3 linked regions of the Callithrix jacchus genome follow. The protein of the gene in region 2 interacts with the protein of the main gene of each other region in a pairwise test. Links are inferred from orthologs where the notes say so. Each region holds a gene or a part of one and is shown on either strand. Other genes may lie near its edges. The genes, in order: FXR2, AP2M1 and TGOLN2.

Region 1 (5,203 bases), on a different chromosome or scaffold from region 2:
CTCCTGAGTAGCTGGGATTACAGGCACGCACCACCATGCCCAGCTAATTTTTTGTATTTTTAGTAGAGATGGGGTTTCATCATGTTGACCAGGATGGTCTCGATCTCTTGACCTCGTGATCCACCCGCCTCAGCCTCCCAAAGTGCTGGGATTACAGACTAGAGCCACCACGCCTGGCCCCTCTTCTTTTCTGAGCCCTGCTCTTTCTTCTCTGAATTTTTTTTTTTTAAATAGAGACAGGGTCTCACTATGTTGCCCATGCTAGTCTTAAACTTGTGGCCTTAAGTGATCATCCTGCCCTAGCCTCCCAAAGTGCTAGGATTATAGGCTCAAGCCACCATGCCCAACCTCCCCTGAATTCTTCACTCTTCTGCATTCTGCCCTCTGAGTACTTTTTTTCTCTGCAGCTGCTCCAATGAAAACGTCCATAAAGAGTTCAAGAAAGCCCTGGGAGCCAACTGCATCTTTCTCAACATCACAAATAGTGAGCTCTTCATTCTGGTGAGTTTATTCTGCCTGAATTTCTTTTCTTTTTTTCTTTTTTTTTTGAGACCAAGTCTCACTTTGTCACCCAGGCTGGAGTGTGGTGGCTCCATCTCTGTTCACTGCAACCTCTGCTGCCCTGGTTCAAGTGATTCTCCTGCCTCAGTCTCCCAAGTAGCTGGGATTACAGGCTCCTGCCACTGTGCCCAGATAATTTTTGTATTTTTAGTAGAGATGGGTTTTCACCATCTTGGCCAGGCTGTTCTTGAACTCCTGACCTCATGATCCACCCGCCAAAGTGTTGGGATTACAGGTGTGAGCCACCTCGCCCAGCCTATTTTGCCTGAATTTCACACAAGCCCTTTGAACATTTTTTCCCCCTTTTAACCCCTATGCAGAAAGGGAAGGGCTTAAATGTGCTTACATTTATTTGTCAGAGAGGACTTTATTTTTCCTGATTCCTAGAGGCCCAGGTAGCCTTACCTTTCTTTAGTTTTCCTCATGTATGAGCTTTTTTAAAAACATGATAATCCTGTTGCCATCTGGGTTGGGGAACCTCTCTTGATATTTGGACTTTCAAAAAGTATATAGCTCTCACCTTACAGTTGCTCCTTGCTTTCTATTTTTATTTTTATTTTACTTATTTATTTATACATTTTTTGAGATGACGTTTCGCTGTTGTTGCCCAGGCTGGAGTGCAGTGGTGCGATCTCAGCTCACCGCGACTTCTGCCTCCCGGGTTCAAGAGATTCTCCTGTCTCAACCTCCCAAGTAGCTGGGATTACAGGCATATGCCACCATGCCTGGCTAATTTTGTATTTTTAGTAGAGACGGGGTTTCTCCATGTTGGTCAGGCTGGTCTTGAGCTCCTGACCTCAGGTAATCTGTCTGCTTCTGCCTCCCAAAGTGCTTGGATTATAAGCGTGAGCCACTGCACCTGTCCTGCTCTTTGTTTTCTCTCTAAAACCACTTTCCTTTGGTACCCCGATAATGAGCCTTTGTGGGACTCCCCCTTCCTAGCTTCATTTCTTTTTGTTTTGTTTTGTGACAGAGTCTTGCCCTGTCATCCAGGCTGGAGTGCAATGGCATATTCTCTCAGCTCACTGCAACCTCTGCCTCCCGGGTTTAAGCGATTCTCCTGCCTCAGCCTCCTAAGCAGCTGGGATTACAGGCCCATGGCACTACACCTTGCTAATTTTTGTATTTTTAGTAGAGTTGGGGTTTCACCATGTTGGTCAGGCTGGTCTCAGACTCCTGACCTTGTGATCTACCTGCGTTTGTCTCCAAAGTGCTGGGATTACAGGCGTGCGCCACTGCGCCTGGCCTCCTAGTTTAATTTCTTAACCCTTTTCCAGGGATTTAGGACTGATTCCTGGTCCCTGCCTCTCCTGCAGTATTCCAAGCCAGTTTTCGTGACTTTCCCATTGGTTTCCTCCTAGTCAACCACAGAAGCCCCTGTGAAGCGGGCATCTCTGCTGGGTGATATGCATTTCCGAAGCCTGCGCACCAAACTATTACTAATGTCCCGCAATGAAGAAGCTACCAAGCACCTAGAGGTAATTGTTAGCTCCTTTTCCTCCTGCTGAAGGGTATTGTCTTCCTCTCTTCCTACCCTGTCTTCCACCCATGCTCTTGTGTTTACAGGATAAAGAGTTTTTTACTGGGCAATTAAACGTGGGTCAGCTATTTTATCTCAGACTCCTCCAGATGACAGAGCTCTGTCATGTCATAGTGAAATTATTTTCAAATTTCTTTTAGCCAAATTATTTTTTTAAGACAGAGTCTTGCTGTGTTGCCTAGGCTGGAGTGCAATCTTGGCTCACTGCAACCTCCACCTTCCGGGTTTAAGCTGTTCTCATGCCTCAGCCTTCTGAGTTGCTGGGATTACAGGCGTGGACCACCGTACTCTGCTAAGTTTTATGTTTTTAGAGGAGATGGGGTTTCTCCATGTTACCCATGCTGGTCTCAAACTCCTGGCCTCATGTGATTCACCCATCTTGTCCTCCCAAAGTGCTAGGATTACAGGCGTGAGCGCCACACCTGGCCGATGGTACCCTCTTCGATGAAGTGAAATGTTACTTGGAAGCACAGTGCATAAAATGAATCAGAGCAGCTCTGTCTAAAAGTGGAAAGGGGGCATGACTCTTACTTCTACCAATACCCCTAAATCACCTCTGGAAACCAAACTGCTCTGCAGGATATATTTGAGAACCATTTGGTTTAAAAAAAAAAAAAAAAAAAGAAATATGAATGTCATTTGAATATGAGGTAGACATTTAAAAAAGAGAGAGAACTAGCCGGGCGCGGTGGCTCACACCTGTAATCCCAGCACTTTGGGAGGCCGAGGCGGGTGGATCATGAGGTCAAGAGATCGACACCATCCTGGTCAGCGTGGTGAAACCCCGTCTCTACTAAAAATACAAAAAATTACTTGGGCATGGTGGCGCTTGCCTGTAATCCCAGCTACTCAGGAGGCTGAGGCAGGAGAATTGCCTGAATCCAGGAGGCGGAGGTTGCGGTGAGCCGAGATCGCGCCATTGCACTCCAGCCTGGGTAACAAGAGCGAAACTCCGTCTCAAAAAAAAAAAAGAGAGAGAACCATTTGGACAATGGGAAACCACTGGACTTGGAATGCTAAGTCTTGTCATATAATTGTCTTTTGGCAAATACATTTCATTACACTGAGATTTATCTTCTTCCTCTGTGACAGTGAGGTCAGTAGGCTAGATTGTTTCTTTTTAAAAAATTTTATATTTAATTTTTTTCCTATTGGTTCATTCTCACAACTTAATAGATAAACTAGAACATTTCTTTTTTTCATTTTTTTTTTTTTAAGATGGAGTTTCTCTCTTGTTGCCCAGGCTGGAATGCAGTGGTGCAATCTCGGCTCACTGTTGGAACCTCTGCCTCCTGGGTTCAAGCCATTCTCCTGCCTCAGACTCCCAAGTAGCTGGGGTTACAGGCGTGTACCACCACACCCTGCTAATTTTTGTGTTTTTTTAGTGGGGACAAGGTTTTGCCACATTGGCCAAGCTGGTCTCAAACTCCTGACCTCAGGTGATCTGCCCACCTTGGCCTCCCAAAGTGCTGGCATTATAGGAGTGAACGACTGCTCCCCGCCTCATTTTTTTCCCCTTTGAGACAGGGTCTCACTCCCATTACCCAAGCTGGAGTAACATGGCTCATTGCAGACTTGACTTCCTAGGTTCAGGTGATTCTCCCACCTCTCCCTCCATAGTAGTTGGGATTACATGTGTGCGCCACCATGCCCAGCAATTTTTTTTTTATTTTTAGAGGGAGTTTCACTCTGTTGCCCAGACTGGAGTGCAGTGGCACAATCTTGGCTCACTGCAACCTTTGCCTCCCCGGTTCTAGTGATTCTCCTGCCTCAGCCTACCAAGTAGCTGGAGTTACAGGTGTCAAGCACCACACCCAGCTAATTTATATATATATATATATATATATATATATATATATATATATTTTTTTTTTTTTTTTTTTTAAATTTTTATTATCATTATTTTTTATTTTAAAGACAGAGTTTCACCCTGTTAGCCAGGATGGTCTTGATCTCCTGACCTTGTGATCTGCCCGTCTTGGCCTCCCAAAGTGCTGGGATTACAGGCTTAAGCCACCACGCCTGGTAATTTTTGTATTTTTAGTAGAGATAGGGTTTCACCATGTTTTCCAGGCTGGTCTCAAGGTCCCGACCTCAAGTGATCTGCACCTTGGCCTCCCAAAGTGCTGAGATTATTGGCATGAGCCTCCGTGCCCAGCCTTGCTGTGTTGCCCAGGCTGAATGTAGTGGCATGATCTTGGCTCACTGCAACCTCCGCCTCCTGAGTTCAAGCAATTCTCCCGCCTTAGCCTCCCAAGTAGCTGGGATTACAGGCACCTGCAACCATGCCCGTCTAGTTTTTGTATTTTTAATAGAGACAGGGTTTCACTATGTTGGCCAGGCTGGTCTCACACTGCTGACCTCAGGTGATCCACCACCTCCCAGAGTGCTAGGATTACATGCGTGAGCCACCGCACCTGGCCAGTATTTTGTATTTTTAATAGATATGCGATTTCGCCATATTGCCCAGGCTGGTCTTGAACTTCTAGGCTCACTCTTGAACTTCTAGGCTCACTGCTAGAATTACAGGTGTGAGCCACCACACCCAGCCTAAATATTTCTTTTTTAGGCAGGGGTAGTGGCTCACACCTATAATCCCAGCACTTGAGTGCTTTGGGAGGCCGAGGTGGGTGAATCACCTGAGGTTGGGAGTTCGAGACCAGCCTGGCCAGCATGGTGAAACCCCATCTTTACTAAAAAGATAAAAATTAATTAATGGGGCATAGTGGCGGATGCCTATAATTCCAGCTACTCGTGAGGTTGAGGCAGGAGAATTGCTTGAACCCAGGAAGTGAAGGTTGTGGTGAGCTGAGATTGCGCCATTTCATTACAGCCTGGGTAACAAGAGAAAAACTCAATCTCACAAAAAAAAAAAAGAATTTTTACTTTTTTATTTTGTGAGATAGCATCTCTTGTCACCCAGGCTGGAGTGCAATGGTACTATCTTGACTTATTGCAACCTCTACCTCCCAGGTTCAAGCAATTATTCTGCCTCAGCCTCAAGAGTAACTGGCTTTACAGGCATGCACCACTACACCCAGCTAATTTTTATATTTTTGGTAGAGACGGGGTTTCAACATGTGGTCAGGCTGGTCTCGAACT
Region 2 (5,637 bases):
TGCAGAAGTCTGACACACACGCTCTAAAGAAAACCAGTGCCTAAACCACTAGGGTGGTTCCCTTCTCATGACTGCCCGTGGAGGCATGGGGAGCGGGCCGGAGCGGGGCTGGTGTCTGCAGCCCCCGAGAAATAGGGAAGTCAGGTATCAAGGCCGACGTAACCTTAATAACGTGAAGTTCATCAGGTTTAGAGACAGGCAGTCCTGACTCCCAGGGCTGGCCCAGTTTCCCAGCTTTCTCTAGCTTCCCCGTAAGCTCCCAGGCCCAGGACAGGAGGAGACACTTCTTCTCCAGTCCTCCCGCTAGTGTCCCAGCAGTGGGGAAGGCCAGCTCCTCCAGAAGTTAGACAAAGCCAGCATGACTTCAGAAGTCACGAAGGAGGGAGAGGTACCAAGGGGCTGTGGAACTGTGCAACCCATTCTTGCCAGGATCCAACTCCAGAGCAAGTTCAGGGAATGGAAAAGGATGCAGGAAAACAATGATGGGGGCAGGGCCCCCCCACCTGTACCTGGGCAGCAGCTTGAGAGGCCGCTTACCTATTGCTACGGCAGCCAATGAGATGGGATGAGAGAAATGACGCCAGCAAGAAGAGGAGAGTGACAGCAACGAGAGAGAGGGTTAGACACACAACACACCGGGAGGGAGCACACACTGTGAGGCAGAGGCAGACGGGACAGGCAAGGCGGCGCATGATCAGCCTTGGCTTGCCCAGTCCATCCAAGGCAGGAGGGGCTGGGGTGGGGTGTAGCCAGCCAGGTTCAGCCAGGCCAGGCCTTGCCATAGCTGCAGCTCTAGCCCATGGCACTCCACCAGCCAACAGACAAACAGCCTCAAAGGCCAGGCCAGCCCAACACCCAGGGAGTCAAGTGAGAGGCACAGCAACAGGCCCATTCTGTGACTTTATCTCCAGCTCTCTGGGGAAGAACAACAGGCAGCAGGAACCAGAGGAGCCTCATCTCCTTAGTGCCTCGAAGGCTAGCTAGGTCCCCTCAGTCGGAAAGAACGAGGGTGTCCAGGGGGCACAGAATGAGAAGGCAGGCTGTGGCTGTGAGAAGGTCTAAGGGGCCCAGCATATGGAGCCGTCCAGGGATGGCAGCATGGCCGTCTGATAGGCCAGGGACGGCAGCATGGCCGTCTGATAGGCCAGGGACGGCAGCATGGCCTCCCTGCCCTCCCTCCATGACCCGGAGAGTGCCTCACGCTTCCTCCCAGCATCTCCCCCAGGAATGGCCCAGAGGAACTGAAGACAGCTGAGTCAGCAGCATGACTCCTCCTGAGAAAGGAAGCCTGAGAGGATTCGGCAGCCTGGAGAGGCTTTCAATAGAATCCAGTGAAGGCGCTTGACATGAGAAGGGCTTCTGAGAGCAAGGCTTAGATGGATTAGGACCTCCAGCCTGGCCACTAACTCCACCCACTGGAGGCACTTCTCCCTCCTCCTCAAGGAAGGAATTAAGTAGCCTGGGCAAAAGCACTCATCTTCAGCACCCAGAGCACCCAGGCCTAAAGAAACGGGATGCAGGAAGGGCAGGAGTTCCTCAGGCTGTGGGACCTTGCCATTCCACAGGTCCCACCTTGTGGCCTGCAGGCTGCCTGCCAGGCCAATACCACCAGACCTAATGGGAGCCAGGCTAACTAGCTGGGCTTCCAGGATGCAGCCAGGAGTCGGAGTGGCCCAAGTCAAGCCTCTGGTGGGAACAGACCTAATCCTGCATGCTGGGGCTGGAGGGGGGGCGAAGGGGGGCACAGCTGGCTGGGCCAGGGGACTCACCCGATGTCATCTCGGTAGACTCGGGAGATGAGCACCTCCCCCTTGTGATTATAGATGAATAAGCCTCCAATCATGGCGGCAGATCAGTCTCCGAGGCCCATCGCTCTGAGAACAGACCTAGGATAGGCAGGGGCGGGTAAAAGGCCTCAGAACCCCTGCCAACATCCCCTGTGGAGCTGTGCAGGTCACTGGAGCCTTTTTCCTGACTCAACCCTCTAGCAAGTGACCCTGCAGCCCTCCCAGACAGGCCCCTCCCCTCAGCCAGGCTCCAGTTCCTGTTTATTCCACACTGGATGGGAGAAAGAAAAGGAGAGAGGTTAGGCCCAGGACTCTAAGGCCATTTTGACCCTCCCTTTCCTGGGGCTGAGCATCAGTAACCCCCGCCCCCTCTCCTGAGCACTGAGCTCAGAAATGATCCTTTTCGGCCACCTCCTGTGCAGTCTCAGGCTCCAGCCCGTGAGTCACTAAGGCCTGCCTGCCTGCCGCTGCAGGAATGGCAATAGGAATTACGACAGCTGGTTCAGGCCTGGAGCCCCCAGGCCTAACCTTTAGAGCATCCAGTCGCTCGGGTAGGGCTCCACTACCCTTCAGAGAAGGTCGCAGGGCCTGAACCTCCGGCACTCACATTCCAGGAAAGGGTGTGAGGAGGAGAAGAGAAGGGAGCCCTTAGGCCCTACTGTCGACCCGCGAGTGTGGCTTAACCTCTTCTTCCTGGCAGTGGAATAAGCAGGCGAAGGGCAAAGGAGGAAGGTCCAGTGCTGGCAGACTACACTTCCATCACCCAAGCTACTATCACAGTTACCTCTGACCACCGCTCCCCTTTCAAAAAGCTCTGGAATGCAATAAAAATGAGGACTGCGGTGGGGGTGGGGGTGGTGCAAGCTCATAAAATTAAGAAATCCTTCCATCCGAAATCGTGATCCAGGCCCATCTAGTAACTCACTGCTGGCCTGGGTACCTCTAAGCAAGAGCCAGGGATGTCAGAATGCCTGAATTATCCAAATTATTTGGGTCAAATTAATTTAAATTGTTTGAGAAAAGGCGCTAGTTTGGTTTCAGATTTCCTGGATTAGCCCTGGTATTAATTTCACAGGAAGTACTTTAGCAGACTTTTCCAAACTGGAAAATAAGGCCTTTTCCTGTGGCTGTCAAGGTCTTCCAGAGGGGTGAGCGCTCTCTCAAGGTGGTAGACTCATCCCATGCCTCAGTTCCAAACAGCCTAGGAAAGGAGATGCAAAATGGAGGTAGAGCCTGGGGCAAGGAACCAAGTCCACAGGTACCGGGTGGTAGGTAGCGCAGGGCACCGGAGAGCCGGAGGTGGGGCCTTGGGCAGAAATGGAACATTTAGTTAAGGGGAAAGACCTGCAGCGACAGCCAGGCAGAGTCCCCAGGTGAGCTCACAGCAGCAAACTGGGCTGGTGGGGTGCACCTAAAGGTAAGAGTTCCCTATATGGAAAAGGTCAAGGCTTTAAGAAGGAAAAGCCGGCAGGGGGAGATTGACAGTGGTGAACAAGCTGGGGCTGACAGAACCTGTCTGGGATTCCGCTGCAGAGTAATGAGGGGGTCGTGGGCTTTTCGCCTTGGGGAGGGCATCGTGGGAAAAAATGGTGCCACGGGGTGCGGGGGCTGTCACAGGTCTAAGGAAGAGCCAAGGGGTGTCACTGAACTCAGAGGAGGGGGCGCTGCATGGTGTGAGACTTGTCACGGTGCAAGGCGGCGGCACAAGGGGGTGTCACTGTCCTACGAGACGGGAAAATTGTCCTTGCGCGGAGGGCCAGGGGGCTGGCAGGATCCTAGGGAGGGGGCGCTGCGCAGTGTTCCTGCTCTGGGAGGATTCCAGGCGGTCTCCCTCATGGGAGTCGCCAGGCGGGTCAGGTGGAGGGCGCCGCTCCCCGCCAGCCCTGCAACCGCGCCCTGGGCGCCCCCGCCCCACCGTCCGCTCGCTCCCGGGTCTGAAGGCTGAAGCCACTCCCGGGTGTGGGCAGCTTTTCTCCCAGCTCAGTGCAGGGCAGGCAAAGCTGGGCGGCGGGACAGACGACCCGCGGCGTTCTCCCCCAACCCATAAGGCCAGATGCCCGGCTCACCTGGTGTCCGCGGCCCTATGCTCTGCCGGCCTGGCCACTCTCGGAATCCCAAGATGTCCGCCCGCCCCCTGCTCGTCTGCCCGCTGCCTGGGCTTTCACCGCAGTGCCGCGGCCCCGCCCCGGAGCCGGCTGCGCTTGCGCGCCCGCCTCCCGCGCTGACTACAAATCCCGTCAGGCTTCGGTGCCTCCTTGCTAGCGATTTGAAGCGCTCTACGTTTAGCAAAACCACAACTACCGACGGCCTTCGAGAAACCGTCCCCGCCTCAGGGGGAGAGATAGGCGTGGCCTTAGTCGGCCCTACCAGAAATACACAGTCCAGCATACACCGCTCCACCCACCTTATTTTTTTTTCACTGAGCACTCTGGGAATTGTAGTCTCTGCACTTCTTCCTGTTTCTATTTGTTTCAGAGAGCTTTGGAATATTAATGCCGTTTGTAGAAGCACATCTGTTAAACCTCGGATTGCTGTAGGCCTTTTCTGTCTCCAGAGTTCCAAGACTGGCTGTCCTCACTTTACACACAAATAAATGCAACTTGGCAGAAGTGTTTGTGCCGAATTTACTGCTTTCTAACTGTACCTCTGATTCTCCCAAGCTTTTCTCAGACATTTGTTCCAGACATGAGCTTTTTCCAAGGGATTCAAGACCCAAGGAGAAGAGCGGGGAGGAAGGAGGCGACTACTTGGGAAGAAACTAAAGCTTTTCACAAATATGTCCATGACTGTACACTCTTCCTCGAGGTCAGCTAAAGCTTTTCATGAACGGGCCAATGTTCTCCTTAGCTATACGATTGTTATGACTTCTAGTGATAGGCATATATGCTGCTCAAAAGATGTTAAAAGAGTTGAATTTAGTTGGACATGGGATTTGAAATCTCCTCTTTGATAAACATAAGCTTTACATCCAAGCTGAGGAGATAGAGCCAACCCTCAAACATGAAGGGCTTGCTTGGTTCTTGCAGAATCTGAAGAAGATCTGTTGGCTCCTCTCTTTCTGTGGGCAGAGAGAAACTGCTGCCTTCCTTGGGCAGGACTGCACCTGTCATGGGAAGAAGGAAGGGCAAGAAAGGGCAGATCTGGTTGCAAATGTTACAGTCCTTCACAGCCTCCAGCCAGATGCCACGATGTGGCTGGATGAAGATCTGACCTCCTCCAAATCGTAGTCACAGCCTGAAGTCATTAAATGACTGAATATTGGCATTTCTAATTTTTGAACCAGCACTCAAGGCTTCAAGACTCCTACCTCTGCAAAAAGCTTTATCTTCCAAAAATACCCTAAACTGCTACCAGAGTAAATAATAATGATAAAATAATAATAATAATAGCTACCATTTATTGAGCACCTACTCTACTGTGTGCCAGGCACTGTGCTAGGCACTTTTCGTACAATATCTAATTTAAATCCTCACAACAACCCTGTGAGGTAGGTATTATTATCATCATTTTACATACGAGGGAACTGAGGCTCAGAGAGGTTAAATAACTCTCCTATCACACAACCAAAAATAGTAGAGCTGGAATTCAAACCCAAAACAACCTGACTCCAAATCCCATGCTCCAGTGAATTAAAGTAGAGACAGAGAGGAGAGGGAGGGAAAATTCAAGAAAGATTGTTGGAGTGAAATGGATATGATGTGCTGATGAGTAAGATATGGGAAGAAGGAATGTAAGCTCATAAATGTTTCTAGCTGGTGAGCCTATGTAGATTGTGATGAAGGTAACCAGGACAGGAATTCAGGAGAAACATACTTGGTTGGGCACGTGAGTCCATATGGAAATGCCCAGA
Region 3 (5,932 bases), on a different chromosome or scaffold from region 2:
GCTGAGGCAGGAGAACTGCTTAAACCTGGAAGGTGGAGGTTGCAGTGAGCCAAGATCAAAATTCCCAAGGTGTTTCAAATGCCTGTTAAAAGTTTATGGAGCTCTGGTAGAATGCTGAAAGCTCAGAACTGGGAGACTAGGGGGGTTGCTATCAGGTCCTGATTTTGCCATTAACTTGCAGTAAAAAAAAAAAAAAAAAAAAAAAAAAAAGAGTGTTTCTGGGTGGGTTTATTTCTTCATCAGTCAAGGGAGGGAGCTGCTGTAGAGTATTTGAAGGTCTCTTCTAGCTCTAATGTCATAGATACGTGTATATAGATATTTCTAGTTTGTGGTCTAAAAAGGGCGAATGCAGAATGCAACAGCAACAGCACCCCCAGAATTGGCCATTGCTGCCATGGCAAATGCAAGCCCACTACTGGGTCCATCTGAGGTTGCCTATCCCTCCCATGGACCTGGTCCTCCTTCCTTACCTTCTGGTCCAAACGCTGGTAGTCACTGGCCTTTGGCCGCCGGGTGACTTTAGATCTTTTTCCTTCCAGGACAAAAGCAATGATCTAAGGACAGGAAAAAGAAAATGATTAACAGGTGGTTCTGTAATGACATAGTTCAGCCTCTGAAATCAGAGGCAGTCACCTGGTAGTATATTTGTTAATGACCTTGACTGCAGAAAGACCAGTACACTCACAGAGGTCTATTTAAACTGCAGCAATTTTAAGAAAGAAGCTAATCACATCAGAATCCTTTGTATTGCTTAATAGGAAATAACAAATAGAAAGCTGTCCAAGCTCTAGCATGTGGAGGGAGTCTGTATGATTTACTCAAAGGTACATAGTCAAAGATCTATCAACTCCTTCCCAGAGGGATCCAGGATAGGACATTCCTTTAAAAAAAATCATTATCAGAATTTCCTATCTACAAAGGTACTCTTTCACCCCACGCTGCTACACCAACAGCTATACTCTTTATCACTCTCATTTCACACCCAAGGTTACCCTGCATAATGAACACTTGGAGGTAGAAAAAGAAATGCATTTTTTTTTTTTTCTAGACAAGATCTCACTCAGGCTGGAGTGCAATGGCATAATCACGGCCCACTCAAGACTTGACCTCACACAGTCAAGCCATACTCCCAGCTGGGATGACACATGTGCACCACTACATCTGGCTAAATTTTTCACTATGTGTAGAGATGAGTTCTTGCTATGTTGGCCAGGCTGGTCTCAAACTCCTGGGCTCAAGCAATTCTCCCAACTCAGCCTCCCAAAGTGCTGGGATTACAAGCATGAGCAACTGCACCTGGCCAGGAATGTCCATTTTCACTAAAGGTCTTCCCCTCTATTCTTTATAGCCACAGGCCTCATGGCCAGCATTAATTGGACTCCCCAACTTTAAGCAGGTTACAGAAACTATCTTCTAAATTTTGGGGGCTCAATAAGAAATCCAGTAATTTTGTCATTAGAGTGGTTGCTAAGAAACAGACCAAACCCTGCTGAAAAAGTAAAAGGTGTACATGTCTGTGCAATTTCTGGCCTTTCTTCTAATTATTATTGATTGCAGAAAAGTCCCTGGACTCTTTGCTGCTGGTATCAAAGACCGAGTAATAGAAACCATTCTTTGTGTCACTGCTGATGGAAGACAGAACGTGGGGAAAGGAAGCTAGCAATGACGCACAGCCTCAGGAATGGAAACAGGATGGAAGGTATGTGCTCTCACTGTCCAGTACTCAGGTCCCCTGAGGCTGTGAAGGGCCTAAATTCAAAGTTACAGGAGGAGATGCCACATCCTAATAATGTCCTAACTTGGCTCCTAATGCAGTAGCAGAGGACACTCAGAGGACAGGTGACAGGTTGAAAACATAATTAACCAAACAAGAGTACAGAGGCCTAGCGGGGCCTGAGGAAAACTGAAGTTCGTCTTAAAATCCCCAACGCTCATGGGCAGAGAAGTGACGGGATAACCACCCACACCCAAGCTTCCAGAGTGCAGGAAATCCCACTCCCCTCCTGAAGGCCACTTTCGACTTACCTTTCGCTTGTTGTGATAAGCGATATAGAGGACAGCCACAAGAACGGCTGCAGTCACCAGATATGCAAAGAAGTGGCTGCTCTCTGCGCTGACACTTTCAGAGCTGTCCTTATAATGGTCATCCTTCTCCAAAAGTGTCCCATCACGGTTCTCGCTGGAGGCAGAACCGGACACCTTTTCTTTTTCTTCTTTGGGCGGTGAGCCCTCCTCAGGTCCTGTATCATCATCTTCAGCCTCTTTGGGCTCCACATCCTCAGTAGGCTCTGAAGACTTACTTTCTTCCTCCTGAGGGGGAGAAATGAAGTCAGTGTCCTCCCCAGATTTGGTTCTGAAAGCATGCGGAGAAAGCTTCCCTTTGTCAGCTAGCTGGTTTGTGTTAGCCTTGGGGAGCTCCTTGTCAGAGGGGTTGGAGATGGGCTTGGCGGGGTCTTTCCTGTAAGACTGCTCTGGAACCACCTTGCTAGAGCCGTCTTTTGGGGTCTGCTCCTCCACACCCGACTTGCCGTGTTCTGGGGTCTGGTCCTCCGCACCCGACTTGCTAGAGCCGTCTTTTGGGGCCTGTGAATCCACACGCGACTTGGCAGGGCCAAGTTCTGGGGTCTGCGCCTCCGCACCCGACTTGCTGGGACCGTGTTTTGGGGTCTGCACATCCGCATCCGACTGGCTGGTGCCGTGTTCAGGCGTCTGCCCGTCCGCACCCGACTGGCTGGTGCCGTGTTCAGGGGTCTGCCCGTCCGCACCCGACTGGCTGGGGCCGTGTTCTGGGGTCTGCCCGTCCGCACCCGACTGGCTGGGGCCGTGTTGTGGGGTCTGCACGTCCGCACCCGACTGGCTGGGGCCGTGTTGTGGGGTCTGCACATCCGCATCCGACTGGTTGGGGCCGTGTTGTGGGGTCTGCCCGTCCGCACCCGACTGGCTGGGGCCATGTTCAGGGGTCTGCCCGTCCGCACCCGACTGGCTGGGGCCGTGTTGTGAGGTCTGCCCGTCCGCACCCGACTGGCTGGGGCCGTGTTGTGGGGTCTGCCCGTCCGCACCCGACTGGCTGGGGCCGTGTTGTGGGGTCTGCCCGTCCGCACCCGACTGGCTGGGGCCGTGTTGTGGGGTCTGCCCGTCCGCACCCGACTGGCTGGGGCCGTGTTCTGCGGTCTGTATGTCCGCACCTGACCTGCTGGGGCTGTCTTTTCGGGTCTGCACCCCGGAACTCGACTTGCTGGAGCTGTCTTTTGGAGTCTGCGGCTCCGGATCCGACCTGGTAGAGCCTCCCGGCAGCTGGCTCGAGGTGGGGTGGTTGGAATCCCTTCCTGTAGAAGGAACTCCAGCTTCTTCTTTCTTGGCAGTTTCGGAGTCTGGGAGCGGAGCGGCTCCTGAAATACAAAACAAATTAGCAGGCCGGAACAAGGAACTCCTCAGAGCTGGAAGAGATCGGGGGCAGTGGGCGAATGGGGATTGTGGGGTGGGGCGGGAGCCGCTGGCGAGCGGAGAGGTGGGTCGGGCAGGGAAGAAGCGAGCCTAGATGGTGACCGCCCCATGTGAGAATGGAGGCTGGGGGCAAGAGTGGGATGCGGGGTGGAGGGTCTTACCCGCCGCTGAGATGCTCAGGAGGACCAACGCAACCACGAACCGCATCCTGCTCAGATAGCGCTTCCGTCCTCTAACGCTCCCGCGAGATCCGCGGATGGAGTCCCTCTCCAGCCCCGCCCCTGCTGCGCGCGCCTCTCCGTCTCCCGCTTCCGCCAGGTCAAGGGGCGGGGACTGGGGGCAGCTGCTGCGGCTGTTGTGTGTGTTCGCTTTTCGTTGCTGCGCTTACGGTCCCCGAGTGGAGAGCGAGCTTTATCTTCCTGGTTTCTCTTCACCACAGCCACAACAGACTGGCTCTCCGTTTTTCGTCCTCTCCGCCTCGTACTTCCTAGACCTTACAGGCAGAGCAGGAGCTCCTTCGCCTCGCCCACTGGCCGCGGGAGTGAGGTCGCTGGCGCCAGGCTCCTCTTGGCCACCACCAGCCAGTGCTTGCGTTTCTAAGCTCTGCCTTTTTCGTGGTTCCCTCCTCGCAGTACACAAACATGCTGTGCTCTGGTCGCTCCCATGTGGGAACAAATCCGTTTGATTACCTACAAAGCGTTGCCTTCGCATCCCAGCCGTCCTCCTTCCCGACTCCACGGAGACTGAGTCCTCTGAGGTCACCAGACATCTTTACCAAAACGTGTCCTTTATTCCGATCGTAAATGTAGAGAAGCAGAAAACAAAATCTGACTCCCACCCTTCTGGGATAATCACTATTAATGTTTTAGTGTATTGTCTGCCCTGTAAACATTTAATGTTTTGATTAGTTAATATAATGTTTCAGAAATCAAAACCAGATTTTAAAGTAAATAGACTTTAGAAAAGTCTTCCTCCCTACTCGTCCACAGGTTACCACTTACATTAGTTTATTATGTTTCCGTCTAGTTTTGTTAAAAGTACTTTCTCTTCTTAGTATGTTTCTCTTTTTTTCTATACATATTTATTTTCTCCGCATATTGGGATAATCAGGTAAATAGTTTTATATCCCACAGTTTACAGTTACTGTTATGTTTATACATTAAATGCTTGAAATCACCTTATGAACGTTAGCAAGGTTAGGTGCTTTGAAGACAATGATTTAAGAAATGATAGGTCTTAAAATGGGATTGCATCAAGTTAAAAAGCTTCTGCACAGCAAAGGAAACAAAGAACCCACCTATGCAATGGGAGAAACTATATATAAGAAACTAAAGGAAAAAAAAATCTGATTAAAAAATGGGCACTAGCCGGGGCAACATGATGAAACCCCGTGTCTACCGAAAATACAAAAACAAAACATTTAGCCAGGCATGGTGACCTGTGCATGTGATCCCAGCTACTCAGCAGGCTGAGGATGAGAGAATTGCTTGAACCTGGGAGGCAGAGGTTGCAGTGAGTGAGCCAAGATCTTACCAAGGCACTCCAGCCTATGCAACAGAGTGAGACCCCATCTCAAAAAAAGAAAAAGAAATGAGCCAAATACCTGCTGAATAGATATATCTCAAAAAATGACATACAAATGGCCAACAGGTATATTTTAAAATGCTCATTATCACTAATCATCAGGGAAATGCAAATCCAAACCACAATAAGAGATCATCTCAGCCCCAGTTAGAATGGCTGTTATCAAAAAAAAAAAAAAAACGAAATACTGACAAGGATGAGAAGAAGGGAATGCTCATATCCTGTTGGCGGGAATGTAGATTAGTATAGCCATTATGGAATACAGTATTAGCAGAGCATAGAGGCTCACACCTGTAGTCCCAGCACCTTGGGAGGCTGAGGCAGGCAGATGGCTTGAGCCCAGGAGTTCGAGATCAGCCTGGGCAACATAGCAAGACCCTGTCTCTATAAAAAAATAAAGGAAAACAGCACATAGAGTTTCTCAAAAAACTAAAAATAGAACTGCCATATGATCCAGTATTCCCACTGCTGGATATATATCCAAAAGAAAGGAAATAAGTATATCGAAGAGATATCTACTTCTGTAATCTCAGTACTTTGGGAGACAGAGACAGGAGGATCACCTGAGCCCAGAAGTTCCAGACCAGCCTGGGCAACATGGCAAGAGACCATCGCTTTTCTTTTCTTTTTTTTTGAGACAGGATCTCGCTCTACCACCTAGGCTTGAGTGCAGTGGCACAATCTCAGCTCACTGCAATCTCTGTTTCCTGGGCCCAAGTGGTCTCCCACCTCAGCCTTGCAAGTAGTTGAGACTGGTGGATCTCATGGAAATAGAGAGTACAATGGTCGTTACCAGAGGCTGAGAAGGGAAGGAGGAGAGGGACGATAAAGAGAAGTTGGTTAGTGGGTACAAAAATACAGATACACAAGAAGAGTAAGCTCTGGAGTCAATACTACAGTAGGA

What was found.
Region 1: the proteins of AP2M1 (region 2) and FXR2 interact in binary tests that used the Homo sapiens proteins (3 or more experiments, as listed by UniProt). The link is inferred for Callithrix jacchus from reciprocal best matches to the Homo sapiens genes AP2M1 and FXR2.
Region 3: the proteins of AP2M1 (region 2) and TGOLN2 interact in a two-hybrid assay, tested with the Homo sapiens proteins (2 studies listed by BioGRID). The link is inferred for Callithrix jacchus from reciprocal best matches to the Homo sapiens genes AP2M1 and TGOLN2.

What each region holds. Positions count from the first base shown.
Region 1 is NC_133506.1:74,096,248-74,101,450, reverse strand, and holds part of FXR2 (RNA-binding protein FXR2), read left to right. Parts: intron 1-407; coding exon 408-501; intron 502-1,922; coding exon 1,923-2,039; intron 2,040-5,203. UniProt on the Homo sapiens protein: mRNA-binding protein that acts as a regulator of mRNAs translation and/or stability, and which is required for adult hippocampal neurogenesis. Specifically binds to AU-rich elements (AREs) in the 3'-UTR of target mRNAs.
Region 2 is NC_133516.1:13,158,566-13,164,202, reverse strand, and holds the start of AP2M1 (AP-2 complex subunit mu), read right to left. Parts: upstream 3,959-5,637; 5' UTR 3,854-3,958; intron 1,887-3,853; 5' UTR 1,844-1,886; coding exon 1,770-1,843; intron 1-1,769.
Region 3 is NC_133515.1:27,701,683-27,707,614, reverse strand, and holds the start of TGOLN2 (trans-Golgi network integral membrane protein 2), read right to left. Parts: upstream 3,679-5,932; 5' UTR 3,652-3,678; coding exon 3,606-3,651; intron 3,390-3,605; coding exon 2,026-3,389; intron 555-2,025; coding exon 469-554; intron 1-468. UniProt on the Homo sapiens protein: May be involved in regulating membrane traffic to and from trans-Golgi network.